Linked DNA regions of Notamacropus eugenii. The protein of the gene in region 1 interacts with the protein of each later gene in a pairwise test. Links are inferred from orthologs where the notes say so. Each region holds a gene or a part of one and is shown on either strand. Other genes may lie near its edges.

Region 1 (7,173 bases):
CACCACTTCACATCAAACTGATCTCTCAAAGTGACATTAAAAAATGCAATAGCTCAGTTACACTAAGTAAGCCCAGGGTACCTATCTCCTCCCTTGACTTCAGAGACACCACACACCCCTGATTTTCCTCCTACCTCTAATAATGCCTTCTTTGTCTTCTTTGCTGGCTCCTCTTCCCAACCCTTCAAGGTAAATTCTGTTCTTGGCCCTCTTCTCTCACCTTTGGCAATTTTAATCACTCATGGCTTAAGCTATCACCTCTACAAGACCGATCCCCAAATCCATATCTCCAGCCCTGGTATCTCTTCCTTAACTATATCTACAACTACACAAATAGCTCTGCATCTGCCTATCAGACCAAAATTTCCAATTCAATGATTTTTAGTTAAATCTAAGTTCATTTATGTAGCAGAAACAGATTTAAAGTCAAAGGAATCAGGTTTGAATCTGTGCTGGCCTGTTTTCTGTGAAACTCTGCGCAAGACATTTGACTTAACTGTATCTGTTTCCTTATCAGTAAAACGAGACTTGAACTAAATGATTTCTAAGGTCCTTTCAGCTGTAAATCCCATGATCCTATCTTCCCCCCCAAACCTGTAGATTTCACTAAATCTGTCAATGTCATTCATACAGTCTCCCGTATTCAAAATTAGAATTCCTTTTTATCACCTGTCATATCCAATCAGTAAACAAGTGCTACTGACTTTTACATCTATACCTTTTCTTTCAACAATGCCCTCCTCTTTATTGCCATTACTTCCCTCAATACAGATTGTTCTCCCACTTCCAGCCATCTATCCTCCTACTACTACAGACCAGTCTTCTACTGGTCACTACTCTGCTCAAAAATTTTTAGTGGCTCCCTAAAACCTCTGCCTGGAATTCAAGGATTTCTACAGTTTGGAAACAACCTATCTTTCCAATCTAATCTCACTGCATTACCTTCTGTGTACTCTAGTCTCCAGCAAAACTAGACTGCTAGCTATCACAGCTCTACATATTTGCTCACCCTATCCCATAGGCCTCTAAGTTCAACTACTGGAATGACTACTTATTTTTAAAACCCAACACCCGCCTTCACTTACTGTCACCCTCCAGCAATAACACATTCACATAGCACTTTGTTTTGAACTTCTCATGCACTCTTCATATATAATTTGTATATTATTTCATATAATATCCGCATGCATGTCATATCCCCCTGGAAGCTCCATGAAATCAGGAACCATGTCTTTTCTAAACTTTGTATCTCCCCCAACACCTACCTACTAACATGTTACTCTGAACATTGTGGATATTTAATAATTATTTATTCAGTTGTTATCCCTCCTTATTAATATAGATTAGTTGTGCATCCCAGGTGTGTCATTTTTTTCCCCATTCCCCTCCACTGGAGTACAGGTGTGTATATGTCTGTATTCTCAGCTATCAAAGCAAAGATATGTGATCCCAAGCTGTCAACAGCTCTACTAGTATGTGCGTATGTGTGTGTGTATACACACACATATATACATATATATGTATACATATAAAGTTGTCAGTAAAACATATGTATGTGTGAATGTCCCAGGGCACTGGGAAATGTCTGTGGGTGTGTATGCATTTCCTGATGCTGTCAGCATTATTTAGACAGGGATGCAGCTAGGAGTAGGATATATCTCTTAGAATATGTATTTCATATATATATATGTATATAGAGAGAGCAAGAGAGATACACACATACATACATATATCACACACCAGTATAAAAGTGTGTGTGTGTTTTCATGATATTCTCACCAGTGAAGATATAAGATTTGTAGGTGGGTATCCTGGGGCTGTTGACAGTACAGGTAGGACTCTGGGTGGGAATATCCTGAGGTTCTCATCAGTACTAATACAGTACTAAAACATATGTGTCTGTCTCCTGGAGCTCTCACATCAGTACCAGGAAGAATGTGTGTTGTGGATGTGCTGCAATCCCGTGTCAACATAAGACTAATGACAGTGTGGCCAGTACATATTAGAGGAGTATATATGCCTGTCTCCTAAGGCTCTCTCCATTAGGAATATGTGTGTGTATGTATTTATATATGTAGTGTGTGTGTGTATGTGTGTGGGCATATGTATCCCAGAATGGGTGTATATTGGGAATGGGGTGGGGGTAGTTTCTGGGGTCCAAGAGAGGCTGAGAGCTATGCACGTGTCCCAGAGTTCTCTCCAGTAAAGAGGTGAGTGTGTGGGAGGGTATGGGAGAGAGGAGTGTTCCGGGGCCCTCACTAGTACAGGGGTAGAGAGTGTGTACCTGAGTGTGTGTGTCTGTGTGTGAGGGTGCGTGTCCCGGGGCTCTGGTGGAGGTATGAGTACATGTCCCGGGGTTCTCACCACTACGGTGGGAGTGGGGGTGTGGGGTGTGGGGGTGTGTCCCGGGGCTCTCACCAGTACAGGTGGCCGCACATACTGACCACCGCCTCCCGCGCTGTCTCCAGACAGATGTTACACTCGAAGGCCGCACCTGCCCCTCCCCGGTCGCGGTTTGGCCCTTCGGAGCCCCCGTCCTCCTTCCTGGCCGCTGCCATGGCCCCTCAACTGTTGCCCCCGCAACCCAGGTCTTCCCCCACGAAACACATACACAAGCCCCGATGGTCCGAAAAGCCCGCCCCCCTGCTCGCGCCCATTGGTCATCCGTCAAGGTCTTCGAGACTCCATTGGTGATCCTGCCCACCAGTCACCTAGGGTTCGGAAGGAAAGGATTGGACGACAGTCTGGGGAGGGAGAGGCACGTATTGCCCCGCCCTTGAACAGTGATTATTGGCCAAGGTAGTCGCCAGTCAAGAGGCTGCGTCATAGGATTAGCCGTAAAACGCGCCCTGGCAGACCCCATTGTCCGCGGTGAAGGAGGGTCCACCCTGTCATCACCATTATTTGTCCCCCATTGCTAAGTGTCGTGCTGAACTGGCTCCAGGACGTAGATTCTACCTACTAATAACCTATCCAACTTCCGCCCCCGTCCTTTCTTCACTTCCTCTTCTCTTGAAAAGGATCCTCCTCGAGATCCTATTGGACTAGGAACGCGCAAGTTCCGAAGCAGCCGGTTGGCTAGGAGATGGTCGCAAGCGCGCACGTGAGGGATAGGACGGACCTATCCGGAGGAGGCTTTGCTTCTCGGGACCCGCCCCTTCCTCGCCGTCTTCTTGTCGCTATAGCTCCCGGATCGCAATTGGTCCTGACTTGGCCACCACCCTAGCCTTAAGTTCCTTCCCCCCTCGTCCCTTGCACCCAACCCTCGAATTTGATTGGTTACTCTAGACCTCGAAGATTAGGATTGGGAGCAAAGAGACATATGCTAGTCACCGGGTTCAAAATGGCTTCCGCCGTTTCGGTGACGTAAGAAACCGAATCTGAGTTCGCCCGGCGCCCTTTACAAAGATGTCGGGCCAGGAGAAGGGCGATTGGCCCCATGTCCGTGACGTCACAGATCCATCTCCTGGCTTATAACCCCCTTCCCTCCCCACCCCCATCCCACGAGCGCACACGCACTCGGTCCCCTTTAGTCTTAGCCGACCCACGGAGCGGAACTCGACTCTCCAGGTTCCTTTCTTCGATGACGCACAGAGCAGAAATGAATTTCGCTCCAGTTCAACTTGTGTGCTGCCGTGGAAAAAGAGAGCCGAATTTGGAGTGAGAGAACCTGGGTTCAAACCCTAGCCCAGGCTCTGACTGTTTGGGTGAGCCCAGGAGTCACTGGACTTCCCCCAGATCCAATGTCGTCGTCAGCTGTGGAAAGAGGGGCTGGACGGTCTTGTCTCCATCATGCTTTGGATGATCTCCAAGGTCCTGTCTAGTTGCGATACTCTTACTGTTTCTGCCATGATCTGCAGGGCTAGAATTAGACCCGCCCCTTCCTCCCTGTGACCTACCAAGCAGAACTGGGGTCTTCTTCCTGGGCAGGGTGCCCTTCCCCTACCTGCTCCGGCTCAGCGTGGCCCAGGTGCCTGGTGCAGGCAGCCAGGCTTGGGCAAGTGAGTCTCCCTCCTCCTTGTGGCCCAAGCACAGCAACCTGGTAATAGCCCACCCTTTCTCCCCCTGCTCTCACCCATCCCATCTCCAGTCTCTCTCCTCCAACCCTGGCTTGAAGGCGTAGCCAGTGAGAGACTTAGGTTAATTGTGTGTGTGTGTGTTGGGGGGGGGTGTTGGAGGGATGGAGAGGGAGAGGCAGTAGAGAAGCTTGTGATCTCCACCCAGCTGTTGTCTCCCTAGGCATCAGTTTCCTTGGGTCTTTGTAAAATGAGGGTAGGTGGTCTCCAAGGCTGCCTCCAGCTCCGACATTCTATGTTCTATGGTTCTATGGGAGAGAGGACACAGACCAGACAGGGGCCCTCAGAGGGAAACCAAGACAGCTGGGGGCAAGAATCCAGGAGAACCACAACATCTGGAGGGAACTGGAAAGTAAAAAGAAAGCAGGAAAGGGCTATCCCCAAGTTGATGGAGCTGGTTAGTTGAAGGTAGGGCTCTTATCAGAGAGGGAGAAAACAGGGCCAGGAGACACATCAAGGAAAAGAAGGGAAGGTGGTGGCAGTGTTTTTTGAAAGAGATAGAAAGGAGAGTTGAGTGAAAGGGATGAGGCTGAGGCAGTAGAGGAGTGCCAAGTGGGATGAAATAAGTGTGGGAAGCCAGGGCTAGGGATGTAGTTGAGCTTCCAGAAAACAAGTGTTAGAAACTGGGAATGACAACCTTAAGGAGTTAGTGTCGGCTCCCCATTCCACCCCAAGCTGCATGGTCTGCCCATAGAAGGAAGGAATAATGGTGACCTGATCTCAGTGGTGGAGAAAGCATATACAATTCATCTTTGGGATGACAGGGCAGCCTGGCTAAAGAAGAGAGACCCTGTGGGAAAGGTGCTAGGAAGGGAAGAGAGAAGAGAATTGGGGAATTAAGAAAAGGAGGAGGTCGGCAAGGAAGGTAGAAGGATCAGAGAAGAGGGCAAGATGAAGGAAGGGGAGGACCTGGCTAGTGTTCTGAGAGACCATAGTGAGATAATGGGGAGTAGGGAAGAGGTCAGCCACGAGACAGGGAAAAGATTAGGAGGCACAAAGAGAGATAAGGATGGGAGAGGCCAAGATGAAGTTGAAAGGGCGAGGCAGCTAATAAAAAAGGATGATGAGTAGTGAGAAGCAGAGGAATGGAAGAATTGGGAAAGAGAAAAGGGAGCCTAAAGGACAGAGAGAAGAAAGCTGAGAGAAGTGGAAGGAGGGAGATAGAAGAGCAGGGAAAGCCGGGAAGGACTGGAACCAGAGCCAGAAAAAAAACAGGTTATGAAAGATAGACAGCTGGAAGGAGTAAGGCAGAAGCCTCAGCAGGAGGAGCTAGCAGGAAAAAGATGAGGCAGGGAGGGCTAAAAGCTGGAGGGAGGGAATGCTTGGGTCCCTGTCCAGGCTATTGGCAAGACAGCCCGCCTGTCACCACCCCCCACTTCCTGGCCGGCCCCGGAAACAAGCAGGCGTTGGTGGGGAGGGGGGGGCGGCAGCAGCAGCAGCTTCGGCAGCCCCAGCCCTCCGAGAGAGAGACAGCAGTAAGGGAGGGAGGGAGAGAGCGGGGAACACCCCCCCTCCCACCATTCTCACCACTATGGGTCCGGCCCCCCACTCCCACAGCCCCTCCACCAGCCGGGGCTAGGACACCCCCAAACCCTGAGGGCCCCCTGGCACCGACTCCCCACCAGAGACAGAGACACAGCCGCCACCACCGCTGCCGCAGCCTGGCTGGGGAGGGGGCCGGCCCCCTAGGCCCCCTACCCCACTGAGGTGGGGGAGGGATGGAACTGGGGAAGGGGGGTGAGAGATGGGTCGGGGGAGGAGGGAGCTGGGAGGTCATGGAGGTGGAGAATGGGGTCTGGGGAGAGAGAGTGTAAGGTAGACTTGGGAGAGGAGCCGCTGGGAAAGATGGAGAGAATCCAGACAGAGAGAAAAGGGATGGAGGAGGGAGGGGCTGAGGCCTGGTGAGTGGGGGGCTGGCCTAATTAAGGGGATAGTGATGGGGATAGTGATGGGGTGAGTGAGGATGAGGAGTACTGGTGAGGGGAGAGAGGAATTCGCTACACCCCACCCCCAGTTCCTCTTTCTGCCCCTTGTATCTCTTGGAAGGAGTGTAGATTATAAACTACATTCCTGACTCCTCCTCCAAGAGAATATTGGTTGCTAGGATCATACCAGGACACCCCTCTATTTCCATGCACAGAGCCTAAGGTCTCTACATATCCTGTGTGCATGTTAGGCCCTTCCTGACACACGTGTGTCTTGTGTGTTACCTTGTTTTCTCCATTGAGTGTGCATGCTTTAGACAGTGGGCTGTGTTGGTTGAATATGTTCCCATATGATCCATGGTCATGGCAAATGTCCTCACATTAGCTGGATGTTGTATCCATTCCCCTTTGGGAAGGCTGGCTATAGTGCAATATGGCCTGTCCCTTGTGTCATATCCATTTGGAGTATAATGTACATACCCTACGCATCTGTATGTTCAAATGTTGCCTACTTTCTCAGATCTTTCTGTTGCATATTAGTTGTGTGTTTCTGTTCATGTGCTTTGCCAGTGATCGTCACTGCCAAGGTAGTTGTCTTCACATGTTCTGTTTGTACGCTGTGCCTATGGTGTTTTGTTTTGGTTCATTTGCTGAATCTGTGATTCTTGTCCCTTGGGGTTGCCTTCAGGTAGCTGATTCCATGATTTTATTTATTCTTAACACAGATCTTCATGGTGTATTAATCCACTTTACTGCATGTGTTTTGCTAAGGAAGTCCTAGCATTGCTTGAGCACTTATGTCTTATGTTCTACTGGCATTGCATTTCTGTTCATATAACATCTATTTCACCATTTCCTTCCTGTAATGTTTTATAAATCACATGTTTATGTAACACATCTGGCAATCTCATATGGTTGGATATCCTCTGGATATCCTTAGATATGTGTGTTCCTGAGGAAATCACATATACATAGCCCCTGTAGAGGGTAACGGACCTCCAGACACACAGAAAACCCATAGCATTTGCATATATATTTGCATGTCCTTCCTATGTTTGGCCTGGCCCATATGTCTATGTAACATCCATAGTACCGCTATATTTTGTCACTGTGTACTCATATGACATGTGAATGAGTACATGTGTTACAGGCTCTCATCTATGTCCATGTTT
Region 2 (7,608 bases), on another chromosome or scaffold:
CCATTAGAATACAAGCTCCCAGAGAACAGGGGCTATCTTGGCATTTACATTCCCAGTGCTGAACACAATACTTGACACCTAATAAGTGCATAATAAATGCTTTTCAAGGGAAGCAGAAAAGTGGGAAAGAATTTTTGCAACTAGTATCTGTGACAAAGGCCTTATTTCTAAAATATATAGAAAACTGAGTCAAATGTACAAGAATACAAGTCATTCCCCAACTGATAAATGGTCAAAGGACATGAACAGGGAGTTTTCAGAGGAAGAAATTAAAGTTATCGATAATCATATGAAAAAACGCTCTAAATCATTAGTGACTAGAGAGATGCAAATCAAAACAACTCTGAGGTACATCACACCTGTCAGATTGGCAGACATGACAAAACAGCAAGATGATAAATGCTGGAGAAGATGTGGGAGAGTTGGAACACTAATTCGTTGTTGGTAGAGCTGTGAGCTGATCCAGCCATTCTGGAGAACAATTTGGAACTATGCCCAAAGGGCTACAAAAATGTGCATACCCTTTGACACAGCAAGCAATATTGCTTCTGGGACTCTCTCCCAAAGATATCATAGATATGGGAAAGGGTCCCACATATTCAAAAATATTTATAGCAGCTCTTTTTCTAGCCAAAAACTGGAAATCAAGGGGAGGCCCATCAACTGGGGAATGACTAAAAAAGTTGTGGTATATGAATGTAAGGGAATACTATAGTGCTATAAGAAATGATGAACAGGAAGACTTCAGAGAGGCCTGGAAAGACTTACATGAACTGATGCTGAGTGAAAGGAGCAGAACCAGGAGAACTTTGTACACAGCAACAACCACAGTGTATGAGGAACTTTTGTGGTAGACTTCGAACTTCATTGCAATGCAAGGACTTAAAAAATTTCCAATGGACTCGAGGCAAAACACCTTCCAAATCCAGAGAAAGAACTATGAAATTGGATCACAGATAGAAACAGACCATTTACTTTTGTATTATGTTTTTGTTTCATTTTATTTTATGGTTTTTCCCATTCATTTTAATTCTTCTATGCAACATGTATTGAATAGAAAAGTATGTGTAGGACTTACAAATAAGACTGTATGCCACCTCAGGTAGAGAGTGGGAAGGGAGGGAGGAAAAATGCAAGATATATGGAAGTGACTGTCGAATGCTGAAAACCAATAAAATAATTTAATTAAAAAAAAAAGATTGTACGCCCATCTCAGGGAGGGAGTGGAGAGGGAAGGGGGAAAAGGGAGAGAAAAAAATCTAAGACACATGGAAGTGAATGTTGAACACTGAAAACAAAATAATTTAATTTAAAAAAATACTTTTCATCCATTCAAGGAAGATGACATAGAGACAACTCTGACAAAGGTATAGTACAAAGGTACAGTCAGACAGGCTGATTGCTTTTCCAACTGCCCCCTAGATAAATACTAAGTAATATTACTAAAGCACAGCTTTGACTACATCATTCTCCTGCTCAAAAAGTTCCAGTGCCTCCCTGCTGCTTCGAGGACAGGTTCTTCAGAGCCCTTCACTGACTCGTTTCAAATGACCTTTCCAGGCTGATTTTACATTATAGTCAAACTGGCCTAGTTTCTGTTCTTTACACAAAATTCTATTCCTATCTCCCATCTTTGCTTAGACTATTCCCCCCATATCCGGAACCCTAGCTCCCTTCAAATGCCCCTTGCTATCTAAAGCCTTCCTTCTAGAACCACTTTATGTTTACTTTGTATAAATAGTTCTCACTTCACCTAAATTCCCATTCGACTCCCAGGGCAGACCCCACTCTAAGCCAGCTCAACTTCCCAGCAGGTGGTAGCAGTAGCAATGGCTCCATAAAGACACACCATTAAGAAGTAATTAGCTTCCATGGTAAAGTAACCCTAGGTACAACTGATTTTCCCTGAATCTCTACTACCCTCTGCTGGGATTTCTAGTTAAAACAGAAGGAAAATAGTGATGGTACTTAAAAGTAGAGGCATATAATGACTCCTGGGAAAGGTCAAGAAAATGCATAAACAGTCAGAATAAATGTTAGCACTATCTGTCTTTGAAAGAGATTATCTCAAAAGATAATGGTGTACTCAGGGGGTTAAGTTCTTGCTTCTAGTGTTGTGCAGAGAGCTGAAATCTGGAAGAGTACTCAGAGATCATGTAGTATATAACCCCTTCACTGTTGAAACCCTGGGAAACCAGATAGTTTGCCTAAGATCATACCTGAGGAATTAAAAAGTCTTTTTCTTGGGATGCTTATCTCTGCTTTCTAGATTCCTTCAAGGCTCAGTTCAAATCTTACCTTCTGCAGGAGACCCTTCTCGGTCTGCCTCCACCCGGTGCTTAACCACCACTTCCATTTGTCATTATTTCCATTAACCGTTAGTTAAGAAATCACTTCCTTTACATTGCATACATTTTGTTTTTACATAGTCATTTGCAAGTTATCTCCCCGCAGTAGACCATAAGCTCCTTGAAAACAGAACCTGTCTTCTGCCATTCATGGTATTCCCAGCATCTGGGCACAGTCCCGCTTATCAAATAGTAAAGATAAATGCTTCTTGACTGGCTGACTGAACACCAGCTCAACATAACTTGTGAGGAGTTGGTCAACAGGTATGTGTTAAGCACTTATTATGTGCTAGGACAGCGGTGGGTAACCTGTGCCCTTCCAAGTGGCATGTGGCCCTCTAGGTCCTCAAATGCAGCCCTTTAATAAAAGGAACTGTTCTGTGAAATTTGGATTCAAAGGGCTGCAGTTGAGGACCTAGAGGCCGCAGGTTCCCCACCCCTGTGCTAAGGCTGGAAATACAAAGAAAGGCAAGAAACAGCCTTTATTGTCAAGGAACTCAGTCTAATGGAGGAGACAACGGGGAACCTGAAGGAAGTCAGAGAAACCAGGAGATGTAGAGAGTGAGGAGAGCTCCAAGCACCGGTATAAGAAGAGGTAGGACGGGGCCAAATTATGAAAGACTTTAGAAGCCAAACAATGAATTATAATATTGTTCCTTGAAGCGAAGACTCCAAAGGAGTTTACTGCAAGGGAGGAGCGTGTGTGAGAGTAAGTGAGAGACACAGTGTCAGATCTGTACTTACAGATCCAAGTGACAGCTGAGTAGAGAACTGACTGAAGTCGGGATACACTTGGGGCAGCAGTCAGGTCCTGAGGTGATAATCTGTTCTACCTGGTGGCAGTGGCCTCAGGGAAGAGGAGACATATAAAGGTTAAGAAGGCAAGAGGTCTGAGCAAATGACTGGCTTGGGGGGGGAGGGGAGGACAAGTCTGAGCGACTGGGAGGGTGCTGGTAGCCTTGATGACAATGAAGACCCTGAAGAGGGTCGGAGGCAGTGGCGGGGAGGAGGAAGATACAGAGCTCTGCGTCTGACCATCTTCCTGCGGCAGCTGGTTTCCTCCAAACTGACTGGTAAGAAAGGGGCCAGAGAACCTGGATTGTCCCTAAGGACAACCAAAGCAACTCCACTTACCTGGTGCACCAAACTGTACCAACTCGTTTAAGGGAAAAAAAGATGGGAAAGAGAGAAGAGAGGAAAAACCAGTTTATTTCACCGAAGCTCCCTCCCTCGGCCACTCGGCGCTCAGCCCCGCGCGCGGCACGCCCTCGGGGCCGGCCTCGCTCAGCAGCAGCCGCTCCTTCTTCTCCTTCTGCAGGACCTGCTCCTCCCACAGGGCCTGGTCCACCTGGTCCTCCGTGAGCACGGCCGGCAGGTACTTCTGGCTGAAGAGCCACTCGTTGACCTCGGAGCGCAGCTGGTCCTCGGACAGCGTGCGCAGGTGCGGCGGCAGGTGGCGGAACTCGTCGTCGTTGACGTCGCAGTCGCGCATCTTGGCGCTCAGCACCCACCAGCGGCCCAGGAAGCCCACGTCCAGCACGCGGCCCGGGAAGTCGGCCCAGCGGGGCTGCAGGTGCGGGCAGCGCGCCTGGTACAGGCTGGCCTCGGGGTCGTAGGGCGCCTCGTAGAGCAGCGAGCACAGGCCCAGGTGGACGTGGCGCAGCCGGCCCCGGCCCCGCAGCCACAGCAGCCGCTGCACGTGCGCCTCCGAGCCGGGGTTGCGGGTGGCGGGCGCCAGAAGCAGCAGGGTCCCGGACGCGTCCAGCAGCGCCTCCTCGAAGGACGCCTCCTCCGGGGTGCGAAGGGCGCAGGCGGCCGCCCCGCCCAGCAGCCCCGCGTACAGCGCCGCCCGCACGGGCCGCTCCCGCGCCGCCGCCGCCGCGTCCGCGCACGCCTCGGCGTAGTCGTGCAGGAGCCCGCGAACCCACGAGCCTGCGGGCGAGAGGCGGCGTGAGCGCCCGGGACGTCGGCCCCCCGGCCCCGGCCTCCCCCCGGTCCCGGCCCTACTCACCCAGCCGCTCCCACACGCGCCGCTTGGCTACGCCCCCGCCGGGGCCCGCTCCCGCTCCGGCGGCGGCGCCGCTAGAGTACACTCTCCTCCACAGTACGGCGGCCACCATCGTCTTCCTGCTCCGTACTTCCCCACGGTCCGGAAGGAAACATTCCCCTCGCCGCGACACTGCAGCGTCACCGGGTTCGAGCCAAGGCGCTACCGGAAACGATTCCCCACCGGAGGGGAATAAGGGAAGCGCTCACGTGTAGAAGGGGGCGGCGGGGGAAGGTGACAAGAGTGTTAGCATCCCGGCACCCGGCTGTACCATCTGGACGTCCACAAGCAGCGCCACCACGCGGAGGAGGACAGGCAGGGCAAGCGGTAAGCCTTGTCTCCCCTGCCTCGGACTAAGTGGGCTCGACCCGGATCCAGCTGGCGCAGGCGTAGAGGAGGCGTTCCACGCAGCTGGCCGACAGCTGGAGGGGTGGGTTGAGTAAGCCGGGCTCCCGAGGCTTTAGATCCGGGGGAGGGGCTTTGCTGCCTGACCCCCCGACCTGTCTCCGCAGGGGCGCAAGGCTGGAGATGTGGTGAGAGCGCCGGCCATGGCTGCGCCCCAAGAGCTCACCTTCCACGGTGAGTGAACAGCTCCCAACCCCTCCTCCCCCGACCATCCAAACGCCGGACCCGTCTTCTCTCCCTGACCCTCCCCAGGCATTCCAGACCCCTATTCTCTTCCCTCAGAGATCCCCGTCTTTCCTGCCCCCGCAAGGGACCTTTTGTCCTTGACCTTCCCTTCCCCAGCCCCGTCTTGGAACCCAGACCTGAGGTTATTCCTAGTGATAGTAGTTAACATTTCTATAGCACCTTCTACGTCCAGGCACCGTACCAAGTATTTTAATTAAAAATATTTCATTTGGTTCTCTGAACCTTGGAAGGTAGGTGCTGAGGCAAACAGGTTAAGTGACTTGCCCAGGGTGACAGCTAGTAAGTGTTAGGGGCAAAATATGAAATCAGGTCTTCCTGACTCCGGTCTTAGCGATTTGTCCACTTTGCTACCTAGCTGATGCTCTTGTCCTGCATGGACCTTCCCCATCCTACCCCCGCCCAGCACTGTCAGGCAGGCTTCCTCTTCATCCCCAACTCCATATCTGAACTGGAAGGACAGATTAATGGCTGGCTGGCATGGTGAATGGAGGTCTAGAATTTGGGCACCTGAAGGGTGGTCTACCAATGGCCAGCTCTTAGTTTGGGGGGAGGGGTCGCCTGGATGGGACTGGTCACATCTACAGAATTTGAGATGGCTGCTGACTTGCTGGCTGAGACACCAGGGGCTACTACCGTCTCCAGTCTTGGGGAACTGCAGAGCCATGTGAGCCTGGCTGTGGACATGGAGGACCAAGAAGATGGAGAATTGGAAGAGAATGATCAGACTCAGGTGAGTTTAGGCCTTCCTGGAAATTCTATGTTACCCAGCTGGGAGCCTTCAGAGGACACACCTTTGACCATTTCTCTTATAGTTGCTTGGGGGTGAGAAACAACCTCCAAACTTCTGGACCTTCAGCTACCACCAGTCTTTCTTTGATGTGGATACCCATCAGGTGAAGGCCTGAGGCTAGTTCACACTTAAGGTGGGAAAGTGAAGGCCCCTCCTTACTGGCTTCTGGAGAACATAAAGGCTTATTTGTTTTGATCAAGCCCGCTGGTATTTGTGCACTTACCCCCAACAGGCTTGTACTGAAGGTGCCACCTTCTTTTCCCTGCTCCTTTTCCTGATCCACATAGCTGAAAATGATCCTTCCCAACATCCCCCCCACACGCACACATTCTCTTTCTGGATGCACCTTTTGTCCTTATCATGATAGGCTATGGCTTCATACTGTGCTTATTTGTATACATAGATCCCCTCTGATGAAATTCCTCAAAGGCAGGGACTTCTATTCATCCTTGTACTAGCAATGACCTCCCTACATGTTAATAGGCACTTAAGTGTTCTGATTTTGGTGGGTGGGTGGGTGGGTGCTTTTTTTCCATCCTAGGTGCTGGAGAGGATCAGAAGTTCAGTGCTGCCAATTCCTAGCCAGAACTTTGTGAGACACCGTCTTCGACATCATCCAGACCTATATGGTAAAGCTGTTTTAATTCCACTAACTAAAGGATTTGAAATTAGAGGCAGGGTACAGATCTATTTCTGTCTGGGCTGGGGAGGTGCAGTTCTCAGGGATCTAATGTACATTCTGCACTTTATTTCCACTCCTTCCCTAGGGCCTTTCTGGATATGTGCCACACTGGCCTTTACACTAGCTGTGAGCAGCAACCTGGCCACCCTGCTGCAGAACTGGAGAGACTCTTCCTTTTCTTATAGCCCACAGTTTCATAAAGGTGAGCAAGCCTGCTCAAGGATGCAGCAGACCTGCCTGTTCTGGGGCCTGTTCTGGGGCCTGTTCTGGGGCCCTTGCAGGGCACTAGAGGGCTACTTGGCCTTTAGCAGGTACGGTTTGGGTTTTCTCTCCCAGTTACTGTTGCAGGGATCACCATTTACTGCTACGCATGGCTGGTACCAACGGCACTATGGGGCTTTCTGCAGTGGCGCAAGGGGGTCAGGGAACACATGAGCTGCTACACCTTTCTGGAGATTGTGTGTGTCTACGGATATTCCCTCTTCATCTACATCCCGACTGTGGTGAGGGTGGCTTGGGGGCTGGGCTGGGGGTATTAGATACTGACAGAAGTCTATAGCCTCTCTCTCTCCCTCTCAGGTCTTATGGCTGATCCCTATCTCGGGGCTTCAGTGGTTTCTTGGGGTCACGGCTGTGTCACTTTCAGGGGCTATGCTCCTGCTCACCTTCTGGCCTCTCGTCCGTTCAGACACCAAGGTGGTATCAGCTGTGCTGCTTACAGTCATGGTTGCCCTCCACGGCCTCCTGGCCATCGGCTGCAAGGTAGCACCAGCTGTCTAGGGTATAGAGGAACTGGCAGGCTGGAATGGCCTGTAGCCTCAGCACTGACTCAAGACTTCTTGCTTTAGTTATATTTTTTCCAGTTCCTGCCTTCAAGGTCCGTTCCTGTGACCCAAGCCCCACTCCACCAGGTCACACCACCTGGCTCCTCCAAGACTTCTGCAGCCTCCTAGGAGAAGAGGTAAGCAGAATAATCATCATCTAAGGAGAGATGTGGTCACAAAGCAAACCCCCCCCAGGGGAGGGACAGAAGTTTCACAGGTGACTCCTTGAGAGACTAGCTTCACACCCCTTTTAATAGGATCTTTGC

Evidence for each region.
Region 2: the proteins of RNF5 (region 1) and YIPF2 interact in binary tests that used the Homo sapiens proteins (3 or more experiments, as listed by UniProt). The two-hybrid records come from large-scale screens. The link is inferred for Notamacropus eugenii from reciprocal best matches to the Homo sapiens genes RNF5 and YIPF2.

Annotation. Positions count from the first base shown.
Region 1 is NC_092873.1:85,920,906-85,928,078, reverse strand, and holds the start of RNF5 (E3 ubiquitin-protein ligase RNF5), read right to left. Parts: upstream 3,016-7,173; 5' UTR 2,959-3,015; intron 2,912-2,958; exon of another isoform or gene 2,712-2,911; 5' UTR 2,665-2,711; coding exon of another isoform or gene 2,612-2,664; 5' UTR 2,559-2,611; coding exon 2,419-2,558; intron 1-2,418. Other genes in the region: AGPAT1 (1-acyl-sn-glycerol-3-phosphate acyltransferase alpha), read left to right, coding at 3,744-3,813. UniProt on the Homo sapiens protein: Membrane-bound E3 ubiquitin-protein ligase that mediates ubiquitination of target proteins. May function together with E2 ubiquitin-conjugating enzymes UBE2D1/UBCH5A and UBE2D2/UBC4.
Region 2 is NC_092875.1:79,086,483-79,094,090, forward strand, and holds the start of YIPF2 (protein YIPF2), read left to right. Parts: upstream 1-4,592; 5' UTR 4,593-4,722; intron 4,723-4,739; exon of another isoform or gene 4,740-4,825; intron 4,826-4,907; 5' UTR 4,908-4,943; coding exon 4,944-4,974; intron 4,975-5,630; coding exon 5,631-5,776; intron 5,777-5,858; coding exon 5,859-5,939; intron 5,940-6,377; coding exon 6,378-6,465; intron 6,466-6,603; coding exon 6,604-6,720; intron 6,721-6,854; coding exon 6,855-7,021; intron 7,022-7,097; coding exon 7,098-7,280; intron 7,281-7,366; coding exon 7,367-7,471; 3' UTR 7,472-7,479; intron 7,480-7,608. Other genes in the region: TIMM29 (mitochondrial import inner membrane translocase subunit Tim29), read right to left, coding at 3,556-4,280, 4,360-4,468.